Cricetulus griseus: one gene and its partners. The protein of the gene in region 1 interacts with the protein of each later gene in a pairwise test. Links are inferred from orthologs where the notes say so. Each region holds a gene or a part of one and is shown in the gene's direction. Other genes may lie near its edges. The genes, in order: Ushbp1, Txlna, Bfsp2, SEC14-like protein 4, Ccdc146, Cops4 and Cep68.

What was found.
Region 2: the proteins of Ushbp1 (region 1) and Txlna interact in binary tests that used the Homo sapiens proteins (3 or more experiments, as listed by UniProt). The two-hybrid records come from large-scale screens. The link is inferred for Cricetulus griseus from reciprocal best matches to the Homo sapiens genes USHBP1 and TXLNA.
Region 3: the proteins of Ushbp1 (region 1) and Bfsp2 interact in binary tests that used the Homo sapiens proteins (3 or more experiments, as listed by UniProt). The two-hybrid records come from large-scale screens. The link is inferred for Cricetulus griseus from reciprocal best matches to the Homo sapiens genes USHBP1 and BFSP2.
Region 4: the proteins of Ushbp1 (region 1) and SEC14-like protein 4 interact in binary tests that used the Homo sapiens proteins (3 or more experiments, as listed by UniProt). The two-hybrid records come from large-scale screens. The link is inferred for Cricetulus griseus from reciprocal best matches to the Homo sapiens genes USHBP1 and SEC14L4.
Region 5: the proteins of Ushbp1 (region 1) and Ccdc146 interact in binary tests that used the Homo sapiens proteins (3 or more experiments, as listed by UniProt). The two-hybrid records come from large-scale screens. The link is inferred for Cricetulus griseus from reciprocal best matches to the Homo sapiens genes USHBP1 and CCDC146.
Region 6: the proteins of Ushbp1 (region 1) and Cops4 interact in binary tests that used the Homo sapiens proteins (3 or more experiments, as listed by UniProt). The two-hybrid records come from large-scale screens. The link is inferred for Cricetulus griseus from reciprocal best matches to the Homo sapiens genes USHBP1 and COPS4.
Region 7: the proteins of Ushbp1 (region 1) and Cep68 interact in binary tests that used the Homo sapiens proteins (3 or more experiments, as listed by UniProt). The two-hybrid records come from large-scale screens. The link is inferred for Cricetulus griseus from reciprocal best matches to the Homo sapiens genes USHBP1 and CEP68.

What each region holds. Positions count from the first base shown.
Region 1 is NW_023276806.1:247,620,235-247,624,848, reverse strand, and holds the start of Ushbp1 (Usher syndrome type-1C protein-binding protein 1), read left to right. Parts: upstream 1-1,477; 5' UTR 1,478-1,847; intron 1,848-2,097; 5' UTR 2,098-2,171; coding exon 2,172-2,225; intron 2,226-2,323; coding exon 2,324-2,445; intron 2,446-2,673; coding exon 2,674-3,088; intron 3,089-4,501; coding exon 4,502-4,614.
Region 2 is NC_048595.1:23,407,667-23,411,599, forward strand, and holds part of Txlna (alpha-taxilin), read left to right. Parts: intron 1-491; coding exon 492-587; intron 588-1,190; coding exon 1,191-1,517; 3' UTR 1,518-3,933. UniProt on the Homo sapiens protein: May be involved in intracellular vesicle traffic and potentially in calcium-dependent exocytosis in neuroendocrine cells.
Region 3 is NC_048597.1:211,724,700-211,729,376, reverse strand, and holds the start of Bfsp2 (phakinin), read left to right. Parts: upstream 1-1,510; coding exon 1,511-1,999; intron 2,000-4,677.
Region 4 is NW_023276807.1:100,840,246-100,844,688, reverse strand, and holds the start of SEC14-like protein 4, read left to right. Parts: upstream 1-1,268; coding exon 1,269-1,322; intron 1,323-4,443. UniProt on the Homo sapiens protein: Probable hydrophobic ligand-binding protein; may play a role in the transport of hydrophobic ligands like tocopherol, squalene and phospholipids.
Region 5 is NW_023276806.1:173,067,277-173,071,800, forward strand, and holds the start of Ccdc146 (coiled-coil domain-containing protein 146), read left to right. Parts: upstream 1-1,627; 5' UTR 1,628-1,780; intron 1,781-4,524. Other genes in the region: protein FAM185A, read right to left, coding at 941-1,295. UniProt on the Homo sapiens protein: Essential for sperm flagellum biogenesis and male fertility.
Region 6 is NW_023276807.1:162,549,736-162,554,114, forward strand, and holds the start of Cops4 (COP9 signalosome complex subunit 4), read left to right. Parts: upstream 1-1,240; 5' UTR 1,241-1,388; coding exon 1,389-1,462; intron 1,463-4,379. UniProt on the Homo sapiens protein: Component of the COP9 signalosome complex (CSN), a complex involved in various cellular and developmental processes.
Region 7 is NW_023276807.1:86,250,763-86,254,695, forward strand, and holds part of Cep68 (centrosomal protein of 68 kDa), read left to right. Parts: intron 1-150; coding exon 151-273; intron 274-2,903; coding exon 2,904-3,000; intron 3,001-3,933. UniProt on the Homo sapiens protein: Involved in maintenance of centrosome cohesion, probably as part of a linker structure which prevents centrosome splitting. Required for localization of CDK5RAP2 to the centrosome during interphase. Contributes to CROCC/rootletin filament formation.

The sequences.
Region 1 (4,614 bases):
CGCGGGTGATCAGGTCCTGGGGCAGCAGGAAGCCCAAGTCGCCGACCGTGCAATGATGCGCGTTTCTCGGGGTGGCGACTCAGGACTCCGGAGCCCCCACCTCCTCAAGCAGAACGAACCTGGAACTGCAGCAAGCCGGATCGATGTCCGACCACAACGACAAAAAGCTCGCACGAGATCACACCGCCAGGTTCCACTCTGCAACCTAGGAACCACAGCCAGTCAATCACAGGGTTCTAGGAAGCCGCCATCTTCCTGACCGGAAGTTTGCACGGTGCTGCCGTAACGTCTTCTGGGAAATGTAGTTCAATGGCCCCGGGATCCTGGGGGTGTGCCTTAGAGCACACTGGCAGGAGTGGGGCTGAAGTGGGGTAGTGTTAGGGATGGGTGTGACAGAACGGGGTTGACTGAAGCAACACTACACTTGTCAAGGCTTCTGCTGAGATAGGACAGGAGCCGACCTGGGCGGGGCTGATTGGTGATTGACGCGGTGGGACTTGACGTGGATTTGCGTCATGTATTTCTGCTTCGTCTTTTACATATGTTGGCACTCACCAATACCATCGCGATGGGGGCTGGGGAGCACACTTGTCATCTCCGCACTCCAGAGGGCAGAAGATGACGTCAGGTGTTAGGCTAGCCTGGGCTATACGAGACACTTCTAAAAGCCAAAATGGAAAGGAAAAATAAAGAAAATCCCGCAGATACCGTGGACAGGCTCCTTGTCCCGGGGGAGCTTTCCGGCGCCAACAGACGGTGCTCTGCTTGAAGAAAACCGTTGTGGGTCGGAGAGCAGGTGCGGCCACCACCACGCCTGACCGAGGGAGAGGATCGATCCCACGAGTGCTTGCAGCTCACCCACCACAGACACAAATAGATAGAACAAAGTAATGAAAAATAAAATTTATTCCAATGTTGGAGCCCACGCCTACAGGTTTGTTATTTTTAATTTTAGAAACACACACAAAGAGAGAAACAGAGAGAGAGAGAGAGAGAGAGAGAGAGAGAGAGAGAGAACAGAGAGACAGAGACAGAGAGGAAACACACAGACACACAGAGAGAGAGAAACACACACAACAGAGAGACAGAGACAGAGAGGAAACACACAGACACACACACAGAGAGAAACACACACAACAGAGAGACAGAGACAGAGAGGAAACACACAGACACACACACAGAGAGAAACACACACAACAGAGAGACAGAGACAGAGAGGAAACACACACAGAGAGAAAGAGAAACACACACACGACAGAGAGACAGAGACAGAGAGGAAACAGAGAGAGAGAGAAACAGAGAGAGAGAGAGAGAGGCAGAGAGAGAAACGCAGAGAGAGAGACAGAGACAGAGAGGAAACACACACACAGAGAGAGAGAGAGAGAGAGAGAGAGAAACACACACAGAGAGAGACAGAGACAGAGAGGCAGAGAGAGAAACGCAGAGAGAGAGACAGAGACAGAGAGAGTAACACATACACACACACACACACAGAGAGAGAGAGAGAGAGAGAATGAGAGAGAGAGAGAGCTTACAGTAAGAGTGAGCCCTGGTGAACCTGGGGATGGACACTGAGAAACCCTGAAATGGAAACAGAGAAAGGGACTGCAAGTTTGGGCTGGGCTGTTAGCCTGGAGTGGCACAAGGGTCCCAATTCTCCATCCTGTCCACATTCTGGAGGAAGCTGACATCCTGAAGAAGGAAACAAGACAATAACTCTCCATGTGACCAGGGCAGGAGGCTTCCTGTTTCTCAGCCCCTCCCAGGCCAGCCTTGGCCAGCACAGCCTCAGCAGCCAGTGGCCAGGATGACCTGAGATGTGCCCAGGCACTCAGGCCTTTCCCAAGGTGCCCTGGAGCAGAGGAGAGGGTGGAGCCCCCCACTCCCAGGGGAGGGAGCTTGGTGCTAGGAGAGTCCTGGGAGGAGAGCAGATTCTTGGGGTCCCTATCCCATACCTCCATAGGGGAGAGAGGGGGACACTGATGAGGGAAAAGCACCAGAGAAGGGGGCAAGAGGTTGGGGCAAATAGACAGGCAATGGGCACCATCGGAGAGGTATCCAAATGTTCTGTCAGTGCAGTTGACCAAAAATTCCTAGGGTGAAAACCGAATGATACGGGGAGACAAAGGGAAGATCTGAGAGCGGGCTGTAACCAGGGGGTTAAAGAGGCAATGAGCGCCCGGGCCACTAGGCCCCGAAGCCGCCGAGGGAGGCATCCTCAGCCTGTAAGTGTGCCCCTCTTCCTGCTTCACCCAACCTCATGGATCCTGGAGCCTAGGCCTGCTTGGACTAGAACCTGCCGTGGTGGGGTTGTCATTTTCAGGGGGAGCTGGACCCAGTGGCTGAGAGCTCAGAGGAGGTGGAGGCCACCAATGGGAGCTTCGAGTCCAAACCTGAGTTACTTCAGGAGCACCTTGGTCCTGACCTGCAGAGCCCAGGGAAACGGTAGGACGAATTTAGTGCTTACTTCCTGTTCCAGCAGGAGCCCCTCACAAAGCTGCCCTGCCCACCTCTCTTAGTGTCCATTGCCTCCTCTATCCCCCTCCATCTCTCTCTTCCCTTCCTTTTCCTCCTCAGCTCACTGCCTGCTCACCCTTCCCAGGGACCTTGAGGTCTAGCCCTGAAGCCCCTGCTCAGACTCAGGTGGCTGGGGTTCCTGGGTTGTCTTTCCAGGCCTGAGGGTGATTGTGACATGGGATCCCACGGGGCCATAGCCTTGAAGTCAAAGGTGGAAGGCCACCAGACCCTGCAGGCAGCCCCTCTGGATACCAGCTCTGGTGCCACATCAGTACCCAGTGTGTTTGAGACCCTGCAGAGCAGGCTGAGCTCCCTTGAGGCCACTGTGGCCGCCTGGCGCCACCGCTCCCGAAGCTTTCCAAGGCCATTGGAAAAAGAAGAGAGAGACCAGATGGCATTGGAGCCCTTTGATGGTCAGGAAGAAGCCTGGCCTGAACAGCACGAGGCAGCTCGCCTCAGAGAGAGGAACGCCTGGCTGCGGCTGGCCCTGGGCCGCCATGAGGATGAGCTGGTTTGCACTCAGGCTTCCCTGCAGGATGCCCAGGCAGAGAAGGAGATTCTGCAGAGACAGGTGAGCTGAACAAACACACATTTATTCATTCAACAAACTGATGTGGAGGAATGACAGCCACAGAAGTGACCAAGGAAGACAGCAAAGTGAAAGAGAGGGTCAAAAGGAAGCCAGGCAGGGTGCACCCCATGATCTCAGCACCCCAGAAGCTGAGGAGAGACAGATCTCAATCAGAGGCCACTTGGTCAAGACAAAGGTCATTCTCAGATGTAGACTGAGTTCAAGGCCAGCCTGGGTTAAAGACCTGTGTCAATTTTTCTGTTTGTTTTTTAAAAGTTTCAGAGTACCTCAGTGATAGAGGCTTTGCCTAGAGTGTGTGAGGTCCTGGCGCGCGCGCACACACACACACACACACACACACACACACACACACACACACACACGTGCGCGCACACACACACACACACACACACACACAAATCAATCCAGTCTTAGGGTTTCTATTGGTGTGATAAAACACCACCACTAAAAAGCAATTGGGGAGGAAGAGGCTCTTTTCATATTAAAACTCTCAGGCAAGGAGGGACTACCACAGTATGCAGGATGTGGAGGCTGAGCAGGACTGCAGCTGTGCTATGTGTACTGCGAAGCCCCAGAGGGTTCTGGGTTCTGCGGGGAATTGGACCTGCTGGAGGTGTTCCCTTGCGCCATCTGCTGACCGTGGAAGGAACAGCCTGGTGGTGGACCATGACCCTGGTGGTGGGGGAGGGGCGATAACAGTGGGCCCGGGGAAGAGTAAGGTGGTGGTGACCAGAAATGGGCAGATTGTGTGTGATGTTAAACCCAGGTGTTGTGGGACAAGCCTGTCATGCTAAGAACTCTAGAGCCTAAGACAGGAGGATCACAATAGCTTAGACAAGATAGGCAAACGTCTCAAAATAGAAGTAAAGACAGACTGGGCTAGGGTGCTCAGCACTCAGTTTGGAGAGGCTCTTCTCACCAACATAAAAATGAAACTCTCCTTCCTGAGTGTGATGGTGGGAGACTGAGGCAGGAGGATGGCTGGAGCTGGGGAGATCCAGAAAACCCAGGGAAACACTGAGTCTCCTAAAAATTAAAAAGGAAAAAAGTCAAAAAGGCGGGGGCTGGAGAGATAGATGGCTCAGCAGTTAAGAACATTCACTGGTTGTTCTTCCAGAAGCTCACAACTTCCTGTAATTCCAGTTCCCAGCAACCCAACACTCTCACACAACACACATGCAGACCAAACACTAATACACATAAATTAATAAAAATAAATGAATCCTAAACCCCCCATCAGTAGCTGCACACCTCAGGTTCGATGCTGAGTGGTAAGTGTTGAGTGGCAACTGGGACCTGTCTGGTCACGTGGACAGAGCTTGGAGTTGGGTTCCTGCTGTTGATGAGAGCTGCTGTATGGGAAGCCACAGTCTGATCCCCCATCACCTGCAGGTGCTGGAGCTAGAGGATTCCCTGAGGCAGCTGGAGGCCTCCCCGGCTGTCCTCCTCCTCAGAGCGGGGCATACCAACAGCAACTCCAGCAGTTCTGGGGCAGAAGGGGAGCC
Region 2 (3,933 bases), on another chromosome or scaffold:
CATGTGGGTGCTGGGAATTGAACCCCAGTCCTCTAGAAGAGTAGTCAGTGCTCTTAACCACTGAGCGGTTGGTTGGTTTTTGAGACAGGGTTTCTCTGTAACTTTGGAGCCTGCCCTGGAACTAGCTTTTGTAGACCATGCTGGTCTTGAACTCACAGAGATCCAACTCCTGAGTGCTGTGATTAAAGGCATGTGCCTCCACTGTCCAGCTCACCCTACATCACTTTTTTGGTGGGGGGTATATGTATTTGTTGTATACATACACCATAGAATTGCAGAAGTTGACTTTGTGGGTTTCAAGCATGGAACTTAGATTATCGGGCTTGGTAGCAAGTTCCTCCTTTACTTCTTAAGCAGTCTTGTCAGCCCCTCAGTGGTAGACTTAACTTGAGACTCTTCAGTTGGCACAAGTGTAATGTTTCCTTCCTTGGAGGCACAGATGTCCAGACAGCCGAACTCTGACCTTTTCCTTTCCATCTGTCATGTAACAGATGACAAAGAAGATCAAAAAGCTGGAGAAAGAAACGACCATGTATCGATCCCGGTGGGAGAGCAGCAATAAGGCCCTGCTCGAGATGGCTGAAGAGGTGGGTGGAGTCCAGTGAGCTGGGTGCAGTTATGGTCTGTCAGCCCTCTACCTGTTTCTTAGTGACACTACACATGATCTATAACTCTATTTCTAGTCATATTTATCCAAGTGCAGTGACAATGCTGGCTGCTACCAGTATTGTCATGTGAGGCACCCAGGCTGGGTCCCAGTAACAGGAAACAGTGGGTCCTAATGGTTGGTGTGATTCACATGTCGAGCATTTCAGAGTTGTGACTGTGGCTTGCAGTCTACAAGATAGACACTAACATAGTACAGCAGCTGCAAGCCAGTTTTGCCCAGTAGTCTGTTTTATTTATTTCATTTATTTGCAAAGGGTAGTTCTCCTGTTTGATATATCTCATCTTTGAACCTTCTTTTGAGAACTGAGGTTGGCTAGTTCTGTTTAACAGATGTTACAGTTTCAAGTTGCAAATGATTTGCCTGGGTCATCTGGTAGATAAGTAGAGGGATACATTGTCTGACAATAAAGTCATACTGTAAGCTAGGGCTATTTACGGCAGGGGCCGACTCTTGATTTTAAGTTGCACAAACTTAAAGAAATGAGTGTCTCACTGAATGCTCCATTTATTTCTCCACCTAGAAAACTCTCCGGGACAAAGAGCTGGAAGGTCTGCAGGTGAAAATCCAACGATTGGAGAAGCTATGCCGAGCACTGCAGACAGAGCGCAATGACCTGAACAAGAGGGTACAGGACCTGACTGCTGGTGCCCAGGGCTCCCTCACTGACATTGGCACTGAGCGGAGGCCAGAGGCTGCCACTGCCTCCAAGGAACAAGGGCTTGAGAGTCCTGGAGCTCAACCATCCAGCTCCCCAAGGGCCACAGAAGTTCCTGGCTGTCCTGGAGTACCAAGCACAGAAACAGCAGGCCAAACAGGGCCCCGGCAGCCCACTTCTGCCACTGCCTAGAGATCATGGTGCTTGGGCATGCTGGGAAGGGAGCAGCAGCCCAGTCAGGCCTGGTTCATGCAAGGCTCCCACACTGAGCAGCCTAGTGCTAAGGCCAGGGTATTGTGACCTGGAGGGCATTGGACACTTTGCAATTTTTAAATTGTGGGTTAGTCTTATTTACATGGATGGGGCAGGTGTGCAGTGCAGTTAGTTAACACCTGTAGGTGTACAGTGGGCTTTTACCAAGGGTGGGGTATGCAGATGAAGTTGGTGACTGTAAACTGAAGTCTTAGGAGATTTCATCTGTAGCTGCCATCCATTGAGCCAGCAGGTCAGATGACTTGAACATTTTCATGCCTGATTTTGAGGCTCAGACCCGTCAGCCCTTTTCAGAGCTCGTGAAGAGTGGAAACACCCAGCCCTGGACTCTTCTCCTTTGTAAGCAGAGTCTGGGCAGTTTGGGCTCTTGTCATTCCCCTGGAGGTTCCATTTTTCTCTTGACCTGGGAATGGTGTTCCTGGGCAGAGCCTTTGTAAGAAACAGCTTGTCATTAAGCTTCCTCCTGCCCAAGACAAGGAAACTGAGGGGTGTGTCTGTGTGTGAAGGAGCCTCTTCAGGCACCAGTTCTCCTGCCCTCTGGTAGTGCCAGGTCCAGGCCGATGTTGCTTCTCTGTTCTCAGTAGCCTTACATTCACAGGTGCCTCTAGCCTGCACAAATGATTGACAGACGGTCACCCAAAGGATTCTTTTTGGAGGTGTTTTTGTTGTTTTGTTTTGCCTAAGAGTTCGTATTAAAGATCGTCAAAGGAAGGAAGAGGGGATACACTAGCAATGGTCCCAGGTGCCTGGCCTCCAGCGCCCCATTTGGGACAATCCTGTCAGGGTCCTTTGCCATGTTGGTGCCAAGGTGTCCTGTTTGGGAAGATAAAAAGATTATTAAGAGAAAGGATACTGGCCTTGCCACAAACTTGCCTATGGGTTTCAGCCTGGGAGGCTACCACTAATTCTCATCTCCATCTCCATGTAGCCATTGCTGGTCCCTAGATCCAGATGCCTCTCTGAAGACTGTTCTGGTGCCATTTGCTAGCACCCTCTTGGCCAAAAAAAGAGTCCTTGGGATTTCACTTCTTGCTGCCTGAGCCTCCAGGTGTCAAGAATAACTTATAACAACAGACTGATCCCAGGAACCAAAACAGCTGCAGGTAGTTGTGTTTGCCTTTCCTCCACATCCCACTCACATCTGTGTTCACGTGTGGCAGCTCTGTGCTGAGGTTATTGTAGTGCACCTGCCAGGGTATTCAGTTTACACAGCAGCTCACTGGGGCAACAGTGTCTTGGAGCTGACAGCTTCTGTAAGCTAAGAAAACCATAGACAAAGATTGGTTGAAATTTTGCTTCTTGTGGTATTTCAGCTATTGCATTATCCTGTAAGTTGCTTCATCTTTCAAAATTGAGCTGGGTGTGTGCCTGTAAACCCAGGACTCAACAGGACACTGAACATCAGACCAGTCTGGGCTAGGAGCAGAACCCCTTGTCAGAAAACCAAAAGTAAATAGAACATTACTGCTTACAATCATGTGTTCAAGACCAGAAATTACAAACTAATGTCCCTTTTCCCGTGTTGGGCACTACCACTTCAAGAACTTGCTACCCTGTATAGTTAGTTACTCAGGGTGCCCAGCAGCAGTGTAAATGTTGAGGCTTCTTTGCCATCTCCAGCTAGGATCTGTTGTCCTGTGGAGGGTCTCCTAAGGTTTTTCTCTTGGAAATCATAGTATTCTTCCAGCCCTTGTGCCAGGCTGAGATCTGAACTGTTAACCCTTTGGGGCATGCTTGGCCGCAGAGGTGTGAGGACAGGGTATCTTCTGCTGTGGCCCAAATAATTGGCCTGCCTCACTTCAGCTACCTCTTAAAGCCCATGCAGGGGTTACAGCTATTTGGTCTCAGAGGTATGGGCTAGGAAGCTACAATGTGTCTATAGAACCTTGGAGCTATTAGCTCCATCAATTTCTAGGCACCCAGGGCAATATCTAGATGGTAATCTCTTCCTATCTCTTCTCCACTGACCAAATCTGAAGTCACTACAGCTGCTCTGCTTTCCTAAGTCAGCCCAGGAGTCTGGGCCAGCTGTAGGGAGGTGGCCTGTCTATGAGTGAGGTCTAATGCCTTCCTCACTTGGGTGAGTCCATGCATATGACCTCATTTTAGGACCAAGATCTGTGTTGGTTTATAGGATTGTTAGCTTTTTCTCTAGAGGACCACAGTGGGTAAGGCTTAGTGTCCAGGGCCCTTGGCTACACCCTCAGTGATACTTAGGTCCTTGTCCAGTTGAGAGCTTCATGTATGTTATGTCCCCAGCACTTTGTTTTCCATGAGGGTTTTGGACCATGGGCAGCGCTCAGGCACTCTGTGAGAATGTTGTTTCTTTAAAGAT
Region 3 (4,677 bases), on another chromosome or scaffold:
TCACCTGTCACAAAGGGGAGTAATGGTATCTATAATACTTCTGGGATTGTACAGTGTGCACCCAAACAGCAGTACTTGTCAGCCCTGTGTTTTCCTGCCTTCTAAAGTTGGATTGAAAAGTCAGTGAGGTAAAGAGTGGAACTGTGCTCAGAATTTGAGTATACTCAGTACCTACCAGAAGGTGACTCCCGTTCCCGTCTCTTGACTCAGGTCCATCCTCACATTATAGGGTCAAGGAGTATGTCCATCTCTAGACCTGGGATGCTTAGTTCCAATACACTACAACCTGAGCACATTCCCAGGCTGGAGGGACCATTCTAAGCCCCCAAGAAGTGACTGGGATGTGACCGTTGAAAGTGTGACTTGGAGTATGCCAAAAGCAACGATTAAAACCTGAGGTGCCCAGCAACCCTAACTTGTAGCACCCATGAGTGCTTTCCAGAAATTGTTTTGTTGTTTTCAACTTCCTAGTCTTATTAGAGGAAGACACAGAGGTGGAAAAGAGCAGAGCCTAACAAACAGCTTCCCAGAAGTTCAGGTCCTAAACTGGCTCCAGAGCATCTGATGTGTCAGAATTAGCAATCAGGCAGATGTACGGCAAGGTCTAGAGGAGGAGAAACATGGCCAGGGCCAGCAGCTGACAAGCATTGTGTCAGAGGGCAGACATGAGGGGGGGAGAGAGAAGCTGGAAGGGGCCTGGAACGGCTGCCAGACCTGAGGGCAGCAGGTTGCTTTGTTTCCCTTGGGTCTCCTGGGCTGCACCTTTGTCCATGGCTGGCTCACATCCACATCCATCCTCTGATCCTATGTGGATGTACAACATGAACACGCATGTGCACACCCCTACCTCAGCACGTCAAGGGGTGTGGAAAGTCCTGCAATCGGTCCTGAGGCCACTACAATGAGTCCCAGCTTGTGCTGTGAGATATAAAGTGATCAGTACACTTGTCACCCAAGGTCCTCAAGCCTGTTTCCTTACCGGTGAAACAGAACCACTTATTGCCTGCCCGACTCTCTCTATGGCAGTAACATACACAAACCCACGGGCTGGGGATATAGAGGTCGCAGAGTATTCACCTAGTATGCATGAGACCCTGGATTCTATTGCAGGGATTAGAGGCAAAAGATCAGAAGTTCAAGCTCATCCTGGCTACATAGAGATTTTAAGGCCAGACTCAGACACCCTGTCTAAAAAGAAATAAGACAAATCTAGAGGATCCGTTCCCACAACCTGCACTGCTCCAGCACCCTCACCCCAGCAGAAAAGTCTGGATTGGTTGGGCACATGACCCAGCATCAGAGAACGCCTGTGTGCCTCTCACAGGCTGGCGGGGTGGTTCTCTTCTGGCTCAATGAACAACAGAAGCTCATGGAAGGCAGTAGACAAAGAACACGGGGACAGAGGAGCTTCCAGAGAGGCCCGTGACCAGGCCATGGGGATGCTGGGACTAGCAACCAAAAGCCACTGAACTCTGTAAACCTGCCAGGCACCACAGAGGCAGAGAGAATGATGAGTGAGAGGAGAGTGGCAGCGGACTTGCCCCCTGGAGCCAACTCCAGCATGCCCCTGCAGAGGCACAGGGTGTCCCTCAGGGGGACACGGTCTCCATCCTCCCTTGAGAGCCCCCCAGCATCCAGGACCAGTGCACTGGGTAGCCTCATCCGTGCACCTGGGGTCTATGTAGGAGTAGCACCCAGTGGGTGCATAGGTGGCCTCAGTGCCCGAGTGACCCGTCGGGCTCTGGGCATCAGCAGTGTCTTCCTGCAAGGTCTACGGAGTTCAGGCCTTACCACTGTCCCTGCTCCAGGCCCAGAAAGGGATCACACTGCTGTTGAAGACCTGGGGAGCTGCCTAGTGGAATATATGACCAAAGTGCATGCTCTTGAACAAGTCAGCCAGGAGCTGGAAACACAGCTGCGGGCTCACCTGGAGAGCAAGGCCAAACGCTCTGGAGGCTGGGATGCCCTCCGGGCCTCCTGGGCCAGCAGCTACCAGCAGGTAAGTCCTCCAGCTGTTCATCTAAAGGCTTGCTAGTGTCCTGAGAGGGGGTGTTGGAGGCTACAGCAACAGTGGTGAGTAGTCTGAGGCCGGGAGAGCTCACCCCTTTCGTACCAAAACTGCTGGTGGTCTAATGGTAACATTGGCTGCCATTCACTGGGGCTGACTAGGGGCCAGGACCCCTCTAGGTGCACATGCACCACCCCCAAAACATTCCAGTAGTGCTCTGTGACCAAACTAGCACGGCATACACCTTTCAAATAAGAAAACCTGTGTAACACGGTCCAAGTCCACAAGCTAATAGAGTAGCAGTTCTCAACCTGCAGGTGGTAACCCCTTTGGGGGTTTCTTTGCAGATATCCTGCATATCAGGTATTTACATTACAACTCATATCAGTGGCCAAATTACAGTTATGAAGTAGCAATGAAATAATTTTATGGCTGGGGGCCACCACAACATGAGGAACTGTATTAAAGGGTCACAGCATTAGAAGGTTGAGAACCACTGTAACAGAGAGGGGCAGTCACTATCTAACCTGGATTTTCCTTCCTCCAAAGTTGCATTGGTCCTATTATCTGGGACTGCCTCTGTCACAGTTACTTAAAAGGTTTTCAGGCCACCATAGAACCAAATACCACTGAATGGATGTGTTTTTTTAAATGATGACTAAGTGAAGGTGTGCTCCTGTACCCACATACATGGTATCAGTGTGAATATGGACCATACTGGTAATTTTCAATTTCCTATTACATGCGTGCCTGTGCGCGCGCGTGTGTGTGTGTGTGTGTGTGTGTGTGTGTGTGTGTGTGTGTATGTATGTGTAAACACAAATGAAGTTGGCATTAATATTATCTTATTTAAATCAAGATAGCAAAAATTATTTCAACATGAAATCAATATAAAAGTGCCAGCCCAACAGTGGAGATTTAAATAGAACTTTCTGGATGGTGGATGGAAACATTTTACAGTATTGGCCACCTATTGTGTGACTCCTCTTGCACAGACATGAGCCAGTACTTTCACCCCAGACAGGGCACCATCAACAGATCAAAGATTCTACCAAAGTCTAGCTTGGGGACCAATGAGTTTATTGGGGTTAATTACAGGAGAATAACAGAATCAAAGGAAGAATCAAGGCACATGGGGGATGCTCATGAAAGCTGCACCCCTGGAGCAGCTCCCTGCCCAATTTGCAGGCAGCCCTATGCAAGTCTCCCTTCCCCAACAAGGGTTTATCACATATATAATTGGGGGTGGTGAATCTTACAACTTCCTAAGCTCTGTAAGTTTCCTGGACCTTAGGAACCATCTCCTCCCAGAGGGACTACAATTCAGAAAATAGCTATGCAACACCCTCTGTGGCAACCGAGTCCTTGGGCTATGGCTATGAGACTGAGAACTTGATATTTTTTGTGTTACTTGGATTTTATTCCTTCTGATCACTGTGTACAGTAGACAGTCATCTTTCTGGGCAGGGATGCAGAGGGCTCCTTTTCCTCACCTGGTCAGGGCTGTGTCGTGTTCTCTGAGACAATTTCTGCAGTGCTCCAAGCTCATCCATCAATTCTGCCTGTAAGCTGTGGTCCTCGGGGCTAGAATCCTATTGGCATTGCTTATCTCAGCTGGTCACTCCGTGGGTAGCCGACTTCTCTCTCCCCTTTCTCCCCAAATGCTGGCCTTGGGATCCCTGCACACTAAACCAGTCTCTTATCCCAGCCAGAAGCAGCCAAATCCTGGTCCCATTTGCTCCCTGGAGTCAGGCATGCAGCCTGAGAGGTTACAAACTGTACTGTTGGCTGATGCCTGGGGCATACACAGAATCCCCATTTCATCTCACTGTTCTCAGCACCCTCACCCTCCCCTAGAGAAGGAGGGTGCAATACCATCTTTCTGGCTGGTGCAGCTGTTCTCAAACATCCAGGGAGGGCCTCACAACCTGTCCAAGAGGTAGCCACCCCTCAGGGAATCCACAAAACTATCTGAGTCTTAAATATTGTATGACATATTAACCCCTAGAACATCCCAGATATTCCAACCTCAGCAGCATCTACTGGACGGTATGATACCCACGTGCCAGGAAGGAACCAACATCTCAGTATCGTGGTTAGAAAGTTCAGCCATGAAATTGGCATGATAGCTTTCATAGTGCCAGACGGTGCTATGCAGACAGAAGAGAAAAAAGTTGTTCTTTTTACAAAAGAAGTTTTACAAAAACTTCTATAGGGGCGCTGGTGGTGCACGCCTTTAATCTCAGCACTCTGGAGGGAGGCCAGCCTGGTCTCCAGAGCGAGTGCCAGGATAGGCTCCAAAACTACAGAGAGAAACCCTGTCTTGAAAAACAAACAAACAAACAAAAAACACTTCTACAATGCATGAGCCTCCGTTTCTCATCTATAAACTGGATTTAATAATGTCTACAGAATTCAGCAACTCTATAACCTATGGACTAGACAGCTATAAAATGCCTCAACAGAAGATCTATGAAGAACAGATGGACACCAAGGTTTCTGGCTCCTGGTGGTCAAAGTCCGAAATGGCAGCCATTTTCCTCTAAAGCATCTGTGAAAGCATAGACATGAACAGACGCTTCCCCTCCTCCCCGTTCTCTTCCTTGATCTTTAGCTTCACTCTCTTAACTCCTCAGCCTCAGAACTACTCAGGCCCCTCTGCTGCTAAG
Region 4 (4,443 bases), on another chromosome or scaffold:
CAGTTCTCCCAGCACTGGGAAAGTGAAAGCAGGAAGACCAAAAATTCAAGATTCTCTTTGATTATGTAGAATGTTTGAAACCATCTTGGGCTGCATAAGAACCTGTCTTCTTCTTCTTCTTCTTCTTCTTCTTCTTCTTCTTCTTCTTCTTCTTCTTCTTCTTCTTCTTCTTCTCCTTCTCCTCCTTTTTAATGTATTTTATGTTTTCAGTATATCTTAAAAACATATCATATCAACATATGATATCAGTAGCAAAAATAATAAAATATTAACTGTTTCTGGTACTAAATCATTGAAATCTAGTTTGCTGTTTCTACTTAGTACAGCCCATACTTGCTGGTAACCAATCACATCTCCAATGGGCAACAGTCTCACATGAGCCCATGCTTGGTCATCTTATATCTGGAACTTGATTTGACCCATGAGAGGACAGAGGGGAAAGGTCTCAGTGGCCTGTTTTCACCTCCTCCTCCCCCCTCCCTTGCCACCTGCTGTCCAGAAAATTCATGCCAAGGCAGCCTGTGTTTTCTCACCCTCCTCAGAGAGATCAGATTACTCAGTGTAAAGCACCCCCACCCACTCCTGGGCTGTCATATGTCACTCTAGCTGTGATACCTCCCAACAATTCACCACCTGGGCCATCCTGTAGCTCCTGGCTCTACTGAGAGCCTTCATAACAGTTTTGAAACTGTGTCCATAACAGTGAGTGTGACATACCAGACATTCTGCTAACATGGGAGGCACATCTTACCTAACCCTTCTCAACGTCTAGAGGGCTGGAGCCATTTGGCACATAAGGGATCTCTTCCTGACCAGTGACCACTCATGGAGCCCAGCCTGTGTTCAAGGTCAGGGAAAGGGGGTTGGTCTCTCCTTAGGCAAAAGAACTCTGGGGCAGTGACATCCTCAATTCTGAAGAGACTGCCCCCATGCATGTGTCTTTAGGTGAACACATCCCTAACACCCCCAACACCTACAGCCCACTGCTACCTGAGTGTCAGAGCCCTGAGCATGTGAAGACGTGGAGGTAGAGGCCACTTGCTGCCTCAGACTCTCAAGACACCTACCTCTTGAGGTCAAGTCACCCCTCTGCCCCATAGGGTAGGCCTGATGACCTGGGCAGACGAAACAAAACAAAAACAAAAACCAGGGAGCACTGGGTAGGGCGGGGCAGAAACAGTGACTCTCCCATGGGGCGGGACCAGCATCAGACCTGCTAGGCATAACTGGGCCAGGGTGGTGGCAGACGAAGCTAGGCAGAGAGCACCATGAGCGGACAAGTTGGAGAACTGAGCCCGCAGCAGCAGGAGACACTGGCCAGGGTGAGGAGTGAGGCGGGTGGAAGGTGAAAGGTGCGGGAGCTGAACTCACATTGGCTGTAGTGCTGTGTGGGGACTGGATGGTGAAGCCCAGTGCCTCCCAAGCACTGTTCCAAGGCCGCTGCACTGCATACTGCACCCCTCCTCTCCTCTCTGGGTTATTTCATGGTGTGCGTGTGCGTGTGCGTGTGCGTGTGCGTGTGCGTGTGCGTGTGCGTGTGCGTGTGTGTGTGTGTGTGTGTGTGTGTGTGTGTGTGTGTGTGTGTATTCAGCCTTCCAGCACAGCGTGCTCCACCACCCAGCCCTGGCCTCTGTTCCCAGCCTGTGGCTATTGCCAGGCAGATCAGAGAGCTCTGCCCAGATTTCGACAATGTTTGGTTTGCTTTGGTTTCTGTTGCCAGGGTTCACAGTCTTCTTATCAGAGGTATTTATTTACTTTTAATTATCACAGAAAAATAAAAGGCTAAGGGCTCTTATTTTGAGAGCATACTGTAGGCTGTACCTACAGAAGGGAAGCCACCAGAAAGGGAAGGCCCAGGCCTTAGGAGTCCAGCCCAGGCTCACACTCAGGGAAGCTTAAGATTTGTGACAGAAGGCCAGGCACCGGAGGCATTGGGTCTGGAATCCCAGCCTTGAGAAGCAAAGGCTGGAAGATTGTCAAGTTCAAGACTAGCTGAACCTAGTGACACTCTCTCAAAGAACAAGAGATGAATGGATTGTTTTGAAGTGTCTCCCATAGGGAAGGACCCTACAGGGAGAAATGAGAGTCCTGGGTGAAGGAGGGGAGTTTGGAATTCAGCCAAGGCTCTCCTGGTGAAAGAGAGGTCCTTAGTGGAACAGTGGGATCTGACCAGCCTCCCAGCACTGATGGCCTCAGGAAGCACCAGGCACAGGGTTCTTTTGGAACTAGACATCTGGCCTCTGGGATCAGATTGTGATAGAGAGCCCTATGAGCTGTTTTAAAAATTATGAGAAAAGAAACGAGGAAGAAGGGGAAAGGCTTGTGGATGGACCAGAGCTCTGCACGACTGTGCATAGGATCATTTCCTTCTAGAGTCTAGTCTTCCTGAGCTTAGCGTGGACCACTGTGGTCACACTTGCAGACACACAGTCTTGGTATGACACTGTGGTCACACTCCCAGACACATAGTTTTCATATGACATTATGTCACACTTCTAGACACACAGTCTTCATGTGACACTATGCACACTTGCAGACATACAGTCTTCATATGATACTATGGTCACACTTCCAGACACACACTCTTCAAGTGACACTGTGGTAACACTTCCAGACACACACTCTTCAAGTGACACTGTGGTCACACTTCCAGACACAATCTTCATGTGATACTGTGGTCACACTTTCGGACACACAATCTTCATATGACACTATATGGTGGCTTTTCTCCAGGCTGAGGGAACAGTTGCCTAGAGGGGATGAGGGGTGCAGCATTATTGTTTCTTAAGGGGCACTGTCCCCCTTCACACCCTCCAACCCCAACAAGAATTCCTCTGGTCCCTGAGGCTGCAGCTGTCTTCCAGTGTGAATCTTCTCATTGCCTTCGGGGATTCATGCTTTAATCCTTGTTAGCACCAGACTATCACGCTGAATGACAGTGACAGGTGAGGTACATGAAGGCTATGGATTTACCAAAAAGAAAAAGGCCAAAGAGGAGAATCTGTTAGATGCACAGCCATGCAATGACAGCAGTGCACTCCCAGAGAAGGTATGACTTGACCGAGGTGATGCTGTAGGTTGGCCTGTCACAGCAGATGACTAGAAGTTTAGTTAGTCATCAAATAAGCTGTTTGTGCAGGGTCAGTAGCTGCCTCTGAGGCTGACTTTAGGAAATTATAGAGCACCACTTATTTGTAGACTAGCCATTAGGGGTTAGGCTGTGAATGTTTGTACACAGCATTGTGGGTTATCAGCCCCAAGGCCTCATGGTCTGCTTGTTAAAGTGTGGGACTTTCTTCCTTTATGTTTGGTCATTTGTCTTCACATATTCCCGTCTAATTATGTAAGCAAAGCAGAATGTATTCTCATTTTTTGGATTATTACTATTGGCCAGGCATGGTGGCAAATACCTTTAATCCCAACACTTGGGAGGCAGAGGCAGGTCAGTCTGGTCTACGTACATAGTAAGACCCTGTCTCAAAAATTAAACAATTATTATTGCTACTTTTTAGAGATTTGAGGTACCCAGGCCTGACTGGCTCTAAAATCACAAGATCTACTTATCTCTGCTTCTAGGGCACTAGGTCCAGCTTTACAGAGGGGGTGTGTGTGTGCGTGTGTGTGTGTGTGTGTGTGTGTGTGTGTGTGTGTGTGTGTGTGTTTTATGAGTGTTTTACATGTATGTATATATGTGCATCACATGCATGGCTGGTGCCATGTGGGTGCTGGGAATCAAACCTGGATCCTCTGGAAGAATATCCAATCTTTAACTGCTGAGCCATCTCTTCAGTCCTGTTGGTTTTCTTTTCTTTTCTTTTTTAGATATGTACTCCATATGTAGCCCAGACTTGTCTCAAACCCCTGATCCTCCTGCCTCATCTTCCTGAGTGCTGGGGTTGCAGATATGCACGACCAAACCTGGTTTACATGTTTATTTTAAACACATTCAAGCTTTGATTGGACAAATTTGACATTACCTTCATTTCACAAATGAGGCAACTGAAGATAAGAGAGAGGAACTCTTCTCTGTTCCAGACCATCAGGATGCAATTTCTGGGGTAATGTCTCTAGAACCATGAGGCTAGCCTTCATCAGAATCACCCAGAATTGGGGAAGAAAAGGCCAGAGTTCTGGTATTTATTCGGGGAAGGCACTGGCACTAGGCAGGAGAGGTACTTGTCTCCCAAGAAGAGGTTCACACTGTTCTAACAGCTCCTCTGATAGACTGGATAAACATGACAGGTTGGTGGTGGATAGAACCACCTCTTGTCAGGACTGCTTAGTTATGCATGCCTCTCTTGTTCTTTGTTCAAACTTAATCCTCATTCCAGAACCTCTGTGTGTAGGGAACCACTGGGCCTCTTTATTTGTTTCTCTTTCCAATGTGGCTACATTGAGTAACTCCCCTTCTCAGCATTTTACTGTTGCTTGTCTCTTGATTGG
Region 5 (4,524 bases), about 75 Mb from region 1:
CACAACCCAGGACAACCACAGTGGGTGGTGCCCTCCCACATCAATCATTAATCAAGAAATACTTCACAGACTTCGTACAGGCTACTCTGGTGAAGGCATTTTTTCAACTGAGGCTCCCTCTTCCAGGGAACCTTGTATCAAGCTTTGATACCCTTGTATCAAGCTGCTAAAAATGAGTGAATGAATGAGGCATTGTGAAATTTACTTTCTAGCTGCCTTGCCGCCTTAAATGCAAAGAAATGAGGCTAGGATTTGAGCTGACTGGAATGGCTCAGCCTTTATGCTCTGTTGCTTCTCACCTGACTAGCCTAGATGACTAAGAGGCTGTGCCTTCCACATGTACTAATCTGAAGGTGCTGAGGGGGCTTTACCACAATACAGATTAAGGTGGTGTCTTAAGAGTTTCTGTCCTGTGAAGACACCATGACCACAGAAACTCTTATAACGGAAAACATTTAATTGGGTGGCTTATGGTTCAGAGGTTCAGTCCATTATCATCATGGAGGGACATTTCAGCTGCAAACAGATGGTGCTGGGGAGGGAGCTGAGAGTTCTACATCTTATGCAGGCAACAAGTAGTCTGTCTTACTGGGAGTCGCTTGAGCATAGGAGACCTCAAAGCCCACCCTCCACAGTGACACACTTCTTCCAACAAGGCCACTCCTCCCATTAGTGCCACTCCCTTTGGGGGCCATTTTCTTTCAAACCATCACAGGTGGGTGTCAATGGAGAGCTAAACAAAACTTAAAACAGCACCTGTGAAAATTGATGCCACCCCTGCTGTCAATCCCAATCTCATCGTTACTTCTAACCAGAAGCCTGCTTCTGGTTACTGTCTCCATGCCTCTACTCCGTAGGTCTCCAAATCTATATAGTTAACTTATTATTTGTTCCATGAAGTTGGAAAGCAGGAATCCTAACCAGTTTTCACTGCACTTGCCAAACCTGAGGGGCGCGTCCACCTCCACCAAGGCCCGGGGGTCGATGTCGTCCGACAGGACGGCCACCTCCCGCCGAGCGGCGTCGTACTCCACCTGCAGGCCGCGCGCCCCGCGCTCTGCACCGCGCACCGCCACCCGCACGCGCTCGCCGTCCGGGTGCGCCAGGGGATCCAGGGCCCTGACGAGCAGGTGGCAGGGGAGCCGCGTCCTCAGCCGCCAGAACGGGCTCACCCGCAGCGTCCACTGCATCAGCGCCGGGTCTCCGGGCGCCGAGCCCTGCCGCGCCCCGTGCGAGCCCCGGAAGAGGACGCTCGCCCGCCCGCGGAGGGCGCCCGGCAAGAGGCGGCCCCACATGCCCGCTCCGCAGCGCGGGACCAACAAGGCCTCCTCGCCACCGAGATAGAGGCCCGAAGGCTGTAAAGCAAACCCGGTGACAAGTGACAACTTCAAAGTACCACTGGTTAAAACCCTGACCCTGCTCTTCCTCTATTGCCGCCCTTGGTCGGAGGCCGCCGGGATATGTAGTTCTAAAGGTAGCGGATATCCAAGTGCTCCAGGGGCCTTGGAACTACATATCCCAGGAGACAGTGCGCCGGAGAGATAGAGTGACACGAGCTGATTGGTGGAAAAGCCTAGCCGTTGCTCCAATCTCATTGGCCCAAGAGACCCACGGACCAATGGAAAGAGCGGAAGGGCCAGGCTGCACAAGCGGCGCGGCTACCTTGGATACCAAGGACGCGACTCGTTTGGAGAGTGTGGAGTTTGGAGTGAGATTCCCAGGGACTAAAACCCGCGCAGAAAAATAAGAGTCTGAATAAGGACCAGAACCAAGAGAAAGGGTAAGAACGGCGTGTTCACAGACGGGAAGTAGACGCAGAGCTGCCCCCTGTAGGCTGGGCCCCCTCCTCCTCTGCCCTGTAAGGGAACTTCCTCTTGCCTAGAAAGTACTGGATAGAAAAGAGAGCTGGGCTCCTGGCTCTGTCCTAACTGTAAGCAACCTTAAGCCACTCATTCGGTGCCTTTAGGTTTTACTATTTTCTTGTAGAATGACGGCAACAGTATCTCCCTTGCCTTGTGTGGGAGGGTTTTTACAAGGATCCATTGAAACTACAGTTGACAAAGTAGTGCACAGTCTACAAAACGAGTAAAGTGGTGTTTTAGGAATAGCATTGTTTCTAAATTGCTGGGAAATTTTGAGGCATTTGGTCTCGTTTAGATTTTTTTCTTTTTTAATTTTTTTAATTTTAATTAGAAAGATTAGTTTACATGTCAATTTCAGTTCCCTCTCTCTCCCATCCTCTCCTGTCCCCCCAACTAACACCCTACCTATCCTAAACCCTTTCTGCTCCCCAAGGAGGGTGAGGCCTTCCATGGGGGGCGTCTTCAGAGTCTGTGGTAGCCTTTGGGATAGGGCCTACGCCCACCCCCTTGTGTCTAGGCTCAGGGAGTATCCCTCCATGTGGAATGGGCTCCCAAAGTCCATTCCTATGCTAGGGCTAAATACTGATCCATTACAAGGGGCCCCATAGATTTCCAAGGTCTCCTCACTGACACCCTCATTCAGGGGGTCTGGATCAGTCCCATGCTGGTTTCCCAGCTATCAGTCTGGGGACCAAGAGCTCTCCCTTGTTCAGGTCAGCTGTTTTATAGATCTCTTTCACTACAAATGATCCTCGGGGTTAGTGGTAAAAAACTAAAAGTTTTTTTTTCCCATAAGACTTGTGAGGGGAAAGTCTTTTTTCCTGGCCCTATTGGTTTATCTGTGTCACAGGGACCTGGTCCTTCATTTTTGAGGTAAAGATAGAATGTACTAAATAACTCTATAAGGCTTCTTTCCTTCTTTATTATTAAGTAGGCAGTAAAAATAAGGAAAGTGTGGGGTGCAGCCATTATTTCACCCTTGCTTGCCTAGCCTCTCCCACTCTCTACAAACAATTCCCTAAATTCCTTAAGTATAGATAGATAAGTTTGATAGAATGCCAGTCCTATGTATCGGTGTTCACTTTTAATCCTCCAGAATTTGGAAAGCTGAAGCTGAGGATCTCAAATCTGAGGTCACCCTGCACTACATAAAGGGAACTCTGTCTCAAAAAATAAAATAAAATGGTGCCTTTAAAGACAGAAGCCCTCAGCCAAAATGAGGACCCCAAATCTTGGGACCTGAAGTAACAGAGAGATTGGTAGACTGATCTAAAGTCTTCAGCAGTGTCTGTATTATTCCTTTAGTGAAGATTATGGTAGCCTCGGTGCAGCAGCCCAGACCTGCTTCCAGCAGCCCAAGAAGTCCTCTTACCCTTGGGGACTTCCACTGAGGCGAAGCCCTTCCTTGGCTTTACTGCAAAAATTAATGTTGGAATTAGCTAGTATGAAAGAGTTGGAGTTGATTTAAAAAAGAGAGATTTTAAACATAGATTTATGAAGCATAGGGGTTGACAGAGATGATCACTCAGGGAAAATAAGACATGCTCAAGAACACAGGTGTAGGCTTTTCAAAGACATTATACCCTCAAGTGTCTTAGCAGGAGCTCTGGAGAGTCACTCTTTTGGTGGTTCTCAAGTTACGCCTTGAAAGATTTCTTAGAAAGGATTTTAAAACCTTTTCTCTCTTTTTTTCTCAATAAGTTATATTATTGGATGGTTCTAGAGGTGTCCTAGACTGGATTACTGTCCAAAAATAAAACCACGTGTCATAAGAATGGTAGAAGAGGGTATTAACTGTAAGAGGTATTTACTGTAGATAGGGTTTCTGGTGAGATTCCTAGAAAATTGCTGGTTTATAGCTGAGAAAGAAGAAAGGCCTCTTGTGTTTAGGTCTTGGGCGTGATCCATTGCTACTTCAACATTCTAATTTGGAGATATCTCTATATAAAAGAAATGTTACCTTTCTATTGGCACCCTTCATAAATAATGTTGTAACTTCGTTAGAATTCATGATTTCAGCTGACGAGAGGCACTGGTAGCACTCTGAGATGAAGGTTCCTTTCCTTCCCATGTCTCCATCATTTCTGTGGTTCTAGCCTGCCTCTGGAAGATATAAAATACATTTTATGCTAAGCAAGAGCCTGCTCTATGAATAATGTCCTTAGCTTTGTGTTTTATGTGGACATAATTATCAGATTAGTTTTCAAATTATCTTTTTATGAAAACCCATAGGCATATTTTTGAAAAAGTGAAAATGGCACAAGCAAGTTGACGATGAATTCAGATTACTTGTATGATTGCTACATATAGTAAATAAAATGCATCCATAATAAATTATCCTGTTTCTATAGTAATTTTCCCATTCTGAGAAAAATTAAATTAATAGAATTGCCAACTGAGCCCTAATGGCATATGTAATACTATCATTATTTCATTACTTTCAAATAAAGGAACTAAAACTTATTGAAAATTACATTTCTGGTTTCATGAGGTTGAGAACTGAGACTCTGATCGATATTAAAGTTACCAACACCTAACATGTATATATCACATGTAAATAGTGACTAACAAATACCATTTTCAAAACATGCTTATGTGCATTGTCTCCCTATATCCTCACAAAACACTGTTAAGAAGGATAGCTGTTACTCTCCAAGAGTGA
Region 6 (4,379 bases), on another chromosome or scaffold:
AAAATTCTCCTGTAAAGTACAATTTGGCAATATCTGGCAAAAATTGTGTGTACCTTGATTTACTTTTGGGAGTGTATTTTACTTGCATATATCTTAAACCATGCACATATAAGGTTATTCATTGCACCATTGGTTACTCTCTTAAAGCTACTTATATATCCTATAAAGACTAAATGTAATGTACCATCATTACCTTTAAGAATAATGCTAACAAAGGACTGGACTTACATTGCTGGATTGTCCGAAAAGTGAAAACACCAAAGATAGAACAACAAGATGTGTCATTTATTGTGAAAAGAAGAGAATGCAAAGTCTTGCACCTATTTGATTGTAATTTTGCAAAGTTTTGAAATAATACATAAATAATGAATGTAATCTCATCTAAAAGTAAGATGACCATATAACTTGTCATTCAAATAACGGTTTGTAAAGTGAAGGCAGTATCATTAATAGTTACTTCAGGACAATAGTTGAAAAATAACATTGTTCTGATGAATACTTTTAAAAGATATAGGATGTAACAGAGAAAGGGAATACACATATATAGTCAGTCCACAGGGATGTGTGTGTACATTAAATCTATTTCCTAGACTCTTGTCTCTCATAGGTTCTCTCATGGTCCAAGCTGGCCACCAACTTGCTAAATTCAGGAACATAGCCTTGAACTTCGAATCCTCCTGCCTCCTACCTTTGGAGTGTTGGTATTGCAGTCTAGCCTTTTTTTGCGGGGGGGGGGGTGCGCTGAAAGCAGTCCACTGATATTATTATAAAGTATGCAATTAAGTTTCTCACATGTGGGGAAGCGCAGACATCAGCACCTCTAAATGGTGGTGCCTTATCCTGAGAGAATTATTTTCTTGTCCGTGGTGTATTCCCTCCTAGCTAAATTGTGTGTGTGTGTGTGTGTGTGTGTGTGTGTGTTTGTTTGTTTTTGCTTTGTTTTCAATGTTGGACTATCTTGAATTGGAAATAAAAACTATAGACAGCTCATTCTTTACCATAGGTGATTTAGAGATGCCTTAAAAAAGAAGGGCAGAACGACGACCCTCAGACCCGGAACTTAGTGAAAACGCTGTAGTTTTAACGCGCCGGGCCCTTACTGAGGTTGCACAAGGTACACTCCTTCAAGGGTTTAAGCCAATCTCAGTTCGGAGCGTGAGAGCCAGCGTCTCTCGAGAGGCCTGGGCGGGTCTCAAACGGGAGGAGAGGAGTTTGGTGTCGCTCAACCCCGAGGGCGGGGCTAATTCCGGCTCCCACACTCGGCGCTCTAGCCCGTAAAGACGCGATCTATGGCACCTCGGGTTCCCTCTGCCTGCGCTCTGGAGGACCACACTCGTTTTCTTTTCGGCTGCGAGCGGTCCCGCAGCCGTGGCTGAGCTGGAAGAAAGATGGCGGCTGCCGTGAGACAGGATTTGGCCCAGCTCATGAATTTGAGTGGCTCTCATAAAGATCTGGCGGGCAAGTGAGTATTTCCTAGGAGTCCAGAGGTGGGATGGGAGGCACAAATTTACCTTCCTAGAGGTGCCGGGGGCTCTCGGGTGTGGGGCCGGGGTGGTAGGCCCGAGGGCTCAGGGGGGCGGGCCTGGTTCAGGCTGTGGCGGTAAATGCTGGGAGCCGCAGAAGACTGTCAGGGACCGTGTGCTGGGGTCCAGACCGCCCCGAGACCCGTGCTGACTGCAGCGTCTTAAGTCCTTGGTAACGTCCTCCACGGGTTCCTTTGGCTTCTGCAAGCGTGGCACGAAAGATGACGGCTCCATCGGCGGTGGCCGCCTTCGTTAGTGGCTCTGGAGAGCCCAACATACCGAGTTTGACTTCTGTTTGCTGCCGCCACCGCCCTCACCTTGGTGGAGATAAATTTATAGTCTGGGCTTTGATGCAGAGTTTTATTTGTTTGTTTGTTTGTTTTTTTTAAGAGAAGGCTTTCCAGGGTGACAGGGGCCGAGGAGTATGGCCGTTGTCATGTCGCCCAGAACTTCTCAAGTTTAAATAGCGTGTGTAGGTCCTTATGTTCTGGATACTCTCCCTCAGTCTCTGTCACCAGCTCTGCAGAAAAGAACACAGGCAGAATGTCCTCGATCTAGGATTTCTAGAACACTGATGTTTCCATAGGCTGTTTAGGAATTTTGTAGAAACCTTAGAATGCTTAGGTCCACTCCAAGTCATAATTTGTTATATATGTATGTATGTATGTATGTATGTATGTATGTATATATATATTTTTTTCTTATTATTATTTTATGAAGGTATCAGATCCCCTGGAACTGGAGTTACAGACAGTTGTGAGCTGCGAATTGAACCGAGGTCCTCTGGATGAACAGCCAGTGCTCTTTAACTACTGAGCCATCTCTCCAGCTCCCCCTGTTGAACAGTTTTAGTCGTTTTCTTTTTGTAGATTTCATAGGTTTGCTCTCTGCTGAAAGTCTTTGTTTTTCGAGACAGGTTTTCCTGTGTAGCACTGGCTTTCCTGGAACTCACTCTGTAGACCAGTCTGGCCTCAAACTCAAGAGATCCGCCTGCCTCTGCCTCTGGACTCCTGGGATTAAGGGCATGCACCCCCCACACCTAGCTCTTTATGCTGAAAGTAGGCCTCCAATTGATTTTACATGCTGGCAGCTGAGAGCACGTTGATCTAACTGTTGAACACTCTTGCTCAAGCCTGCACATTGATGTTGTGTAGATGTTGTATGGCAGCTGTGCTGCTTTTTTGCTGGTAAATTTAGTTATACCCCAGCCTTAACTACTTTATGCTTCCTTTTTCTGCTTAAAAAAAAAGTGGTAGTGTGATTGTGAGACTTAGTCTTACCTGATTTCAAGATGAGTGTGTGTCTGTGTACTTATCACACTAAATATCTGAGTTCTGTCCCTGGTATATAGAAAACGCCATAGAATTGTTACTATTAAGCAGTCGGTAAATATATACTGACTTATTCCAGGATTTGGAAGTAGTTGACTATGTCTTCATTGTTTAGTCTTTTTTGCATGTATTAATACTTTTTATTGGTTTGGATGAAAGTAAAACTAGCTTATGTATTTCAGAAAATGTAAGGCCATTAGTTGTCAGATAAGCTGTAGCTCTTTGAACTGGGAAGCATTCTGGAACTTTGGCTTACTCCTTAACTTCTTTAGCTTTGAATTGGAGATGAGCAGTAGTATGTCTCCAGTGGGTTGTTTCTTTGTCTGTTGCTGCTTAATAAACGTACAGTTTAGTGGTGTAAGCATACTTTTCTCCCCAGGATTCTTTGTGTCACCTGGGCTGTCTTCCTGGTCTTGCCTGGTTCAATTAAACAGATTAATTTGGCTAGCAGTTCAGTTAGGGCTGGGCTCATGTCAGTATCTGGCTGTTGGCTGGGTCTTTTATTCTAGTTTCATAGTGTAGCTTTGGCTTTCTTCTGGGCTTCTCCATTAGAGTGTTCTACCTGAGTGAGAATGAAAGCTGAAAGGCTTAAGGCTAGCCTGAGAAGTCTTCCATTGACTCTGTAATACTGGTGAAAGCAAGTGATTCAGGGGGAAAGGAAATGGAATGTACCACTAACTTTTTAGTAGCAAAGTGATATTGCAAAGGAGTCATTGGAAACTATTCTTGTGGCAGTTTACCATGTGAGTTTATTATTCAGAGCAAATGAAATGATTGGATTGATAAATGGTAGCCCATGTAGTACTAGCTAGCTCCTCCCTCAGTATCACTTTCTTTTCTTTCTTTTTCTTTTTTTTTTTTTTTTTGGTTTTTCGAGACAGTTTCTCTATGTAGCTTTGGAGCCTATCCTGGCACTTGTTCTGGAGACCAGGCTGGCCTCGAACTCACAGAGATCTGCCTGCCTCTACCTCTCGAGTGCTGGGATTAGAGGTGTATACCACCAACACCTGCTTTCTTTCTTGTCTTAGGATTTAGTTGATTATTTTTAATTTTTATGTATGTGTGAGTGTGAGTACCATCTGTGTGCAGGTGCCCATGGGTGCCAAAAGAGGGAGTCACCGGGAGCCCTCTGACCTGGGTGCTGGGAATTGGATTCAGGTCCCTGGAAGAGCAGCACCCTTGACCACTGAGCCATCTCTCCAGCCCTCCCTCAGTGCTGCTTTCTGGCCTTGTCTCTGGATGTTTGCCCAGTACTATCTGGGTAAGAATGTTAGGATGTTTACCCCTGTAACAAAACAGTTCTGCCAGCCACATAACTTTATGAAGCACCTATGCCATGTGTTTATTTAAGGTTTTTATATTGGGAACTGCGAAACAAAAGATATCTAATACTGAAGCCCTCTGTGTTCCCATACAGTGTATTGTTCAAGAAATGTTGGTTAATGAGTAAATGGCTAGAAGGGGACGTAACATAACTTCTATTTGAACCCATGTTTGTCTTAAAAGCTCACTTTTAACTAACCAG
Region 7 (3,933 bases), on another chromosome or scaffold:
AAATGCTGATACTTTTAGCCTTTGGACAAGGTAAGCAGTGCACTCGGGTGCCCCATGTGGACTTTGTTTTTGTGGTACTGGGCCCTGAGCATGATAGGCAGACTTCATCACTGAGCTCTGTCCAGTGCCCATGTATTCTTGTCTCCACAGACATTTTGCTGTCAGCTGGAAGAGCTGATCTGCTGGTTGTATAATGTCACAGACGTTGCTGACCTCAGTACTCCACCCAGGTCCACTCTTACAGGTCTCAAGTCTTCTCTGCAGCTTTACCGGGTAATGTGTGGTCCTGGCTCCTGGCTTGCTCACTCACAAGATTGGTGGTTAAGTCACTTACAAAATAAAATTCCAAGTAACTGGAATCTTGTAGCTCAGACTATTTTATCTGAATAAATCTAATTAAGACACCTTTTTCAAATTCTAAATTTTGAACTCCCAGGCCAGATAGAGGAAAATTTGTCTTGAACAATAAATACTTTTGAGGGATTTGCATGGTACTTTGGCAGGTGTCTCAGGGTTAGAACCATAGGCCTGGGGTTTACAGACGGTAGTCATGTATGACAGTTAAGTCTGATATGTACCACTGCTATGCAGTGGCTGCCACACAGGGCAGTGCAAACACAGACACGTCACCAGAGTTCTTCTGAACTGTATTTGTGTTTATGGAACTCAGCTGAAGCTGTGTAATAGGACAGATTTAAGTCATATTTAACCCCAAATCTGACACCAGTTTGTATCTATGTTTGGGACTTAGGATTTTATTTTATGTCTGCTTATTTTTAAGGGCTGTTATTTCACACCTATGAATTTTAGTTAATGATACGAGATAAAAAGCATATTGAAATGGAGGGTAATTCCTGTAACTGCTACCTCAGGTAAACCTGGCTGACTTTGATCACATGGTGGCAGTGTTTGTGGCCCAGGCCTGCTGCTAACCTGGCAGGGAAATGGGGAACCCAGATCTAATCATGTAACCTAACACTGAGTCAGCAGAAGAGGGTGAGATTAACCACCAAGCTCTGACTCAGCTCATCTGGATGGAAGGCCTTTGTTTTCTGTCTTGCAATCTACTAAAATCTAGCCTGGGCTAGCCAGCTGTCCTGCCATGGCAGGAATGCTGTTAGATACAGTGTAGAGATAGAGAGAAACTAGAGGAAGGCTGTACCTGAAGGTTCTTTCTGTTCAGCGTGTCTGTGCCTGGAGAGTGCCCCGGGGAGTCCCAGGGAAAGGAATTGCTCTATCAGACTTATCTCAGTAGCCTTTCCTGGCCTGGCTGAACAAGTGTAAATAGGTTTACTCCATTCTTCATTTGAGCCCTCATAACCCCCTCTATAACTCAACTTCCAGCTGCAACCATCTTGCATTGTAGACAGCTAGGAATTGAGTCAGAAGTTATTCCTGCATATTAGTCAAGCTTAGGCCTCTTGTATGTACACAGCTGTGTCAGTGAGATGACACTGCTGACACCCTCCCCAGAATGGAACATGACTTACAAATGAGCTCTCTTGGCTCTTGCTTAGACGGAGAATGAGTGCTAGGATTTATGTATGCTCATATTTTAACTGACACTCATCCTCTCCTGTACTTGTCCCCAGTCATCCTCTCTTGTACTTGTATTTCTTCTTGATGCAGTGGGGCTGAGGCAGCATCTAAACTCCCTAGAGCACAGGAGGATAAAAACAGTTTGGGGGCAAAGGAATACTGAGGGCAAGAGAACAAATCCAAGAGTAAGATTAGCACCCTTAAAATACTAAGCAGTGAGGTCTGTCCCATGGCATGGGTTTAATTTTATATGATTCTTACTGGCTAAAGAAAGATTTTAGCTAGGTGGTGGTGGCACACCCCTTTAGTCCCAGCACTCAGGAGGCAGACGCAGGTGGATCTCTGTGAGTTTGAAACCAGCCTGGTCTACAAGAGCTAGTTCCAGGACAGCCTCCAAAGCCACAGAGAAACCCTGTCTCAAAAAAAAAAAAAAAAAAAAAAAAAAGATTTTAAAAAATTAACTAGAGCTGACTATGGTGGTACATGCCTTTAATCTGAGCACTCAGGAGACAGAAGCAAGCATAACTCAATGAGTTTGTGGCCAGCCCAATTTACATAGTGAGTTTAGGGCAGCCAGGACTGCCTTTAATGAAAATAAAAATCAGCAACGATGCTTTGTAGCTGTGAGGGATAACCTGCTTGGGAAAATAACCTATTTTTGGGAAAATAGCAGCTTCCCTGATGTCAAGGTGTTATTATAGAGGCCTCAGAGAAGGGGTATAAAGATGGGGGAGGGGAGCACGGGTCAGCGTGGTTAGTGTAGTAACAAACTTCTGCTTGTAGTTTTGTTTGTTTGTTTGTTTGTTTTTCGAGACAGGGGTTCTCTGTGTAGCTTTGGAGCCTATCCTGGCACTTGCTCTGGAGACCAGGCTGGCCTCGAACTCACAGAGATCGGCCTGCCTCTGCCTCCCGAGTGCTGGGATTAAACGCCCGGCTGTTTGTAGTTCTTACCTACCATGTTCATTCTAAGGGTCAATCACATACCTGAGTTAGAGACCACCATAAAGGAGTGTACAAAATGGAATCCCTACGCCTGTCCAAGAGCGAGCCAGCTTCTTCTGGGGAAAACTCTTCTGTTGATCTGGACTCGATGGCACAGGGTTATAATCCTAGCACTGGGGAAGATAAAGAGGACTCTGTAGACCAGCCTGAGCTAAATTAAGACTCTGTCTCAACAACAAACAAAATCAGTGAATATATGTCCATGAACTCAAAGAAGCTGCCACAAGATAAGTCTACTGAGGGATTCTTGACTGCGTGGTGGCTATCTTCCATTTAGAGAAGTCAGGTGTTGGATAGTGTTCATTCTAGATGTCTTTTACAAGCAATAGTATTGAAACTTTTTTCTTTTCTGATGTCTTAAGCAATTTAAGAAAGATATAGACAAACATCAGTCCCTGACAGAGAATGTCTTGGAGAAGGGGGAGATTCTTCTTCAGTGCCTGATGGATAACACCCCAGGTGGGTAACCAAGAGCTTTGTTTGGTTGTTTATTGACACATGATATACTTATCTATGGGTCTGGTGTGACACACATGTCCACTGTATGTGGCTATAAATTGGAACATGCCTTTTCACTGAGTGTGTTAGAGTTGCCCTTAGGAATTCAACCCATTTATCTGCTAGTGAATTTTAATACGAAAGTCTGAATTAGTCAATATAAAATTAAAGATGAAGAGTCAGGCATGGTGGTGCATGCCTTTAATCCCAATCTCCTCTGGGAGGCAGAGGAGCATCTTAAATTTCTGGCTAGCCTGGTTTGATAGTTCAGGACAGGCTGGGCTACATAGTGAGATTCTATCAGAGAGGGGGAGGGGAAGAGATTAAAAATAAAATACAGGTGACAACCAGAAAGAAAGAACTAGCCAGGAAGTGGAAAGTCAGCTTAGGTATTGTAAGCACTGTAACTCCAGCTCCAGGGCATCCAGTGTCCTCTTCTAGACTCACATGTACACCTACCCACACACACGGATCTACACATGTACACATAATTGTTTTGAAAACCAGCCAGTATTATATATAGCAATTGAATTTAGACTGCGGTGGCACTCTTATTTTCTCAATGTAGAATTCTCATCAGCTTCAACTGACAGCCATTTTCAGGTTGTTCCCATTTCCCATACCAGTTCCATCTCCGATGTCTCTAGAACACAGTAAAGAGGAGAGTGTAGCTTCTGTTCTCCTGGATGTACAGTAGTCAGTAGTGGGATTCCCAGATCCTGCTGCCCTATCTAGTCTTGTGAAGACCTCCATACTGCTTCCCACCAGCAATGAGTTCCTTTTCTGTCATATCAATGTAGTTTTCTTTCCCTCTGATTAATAATACTGAACCTGTTTCACAGGTTTGTTGGTCTTTCCTAATATCCTCTTCTGAAGTATCTAGGTTATTCATCC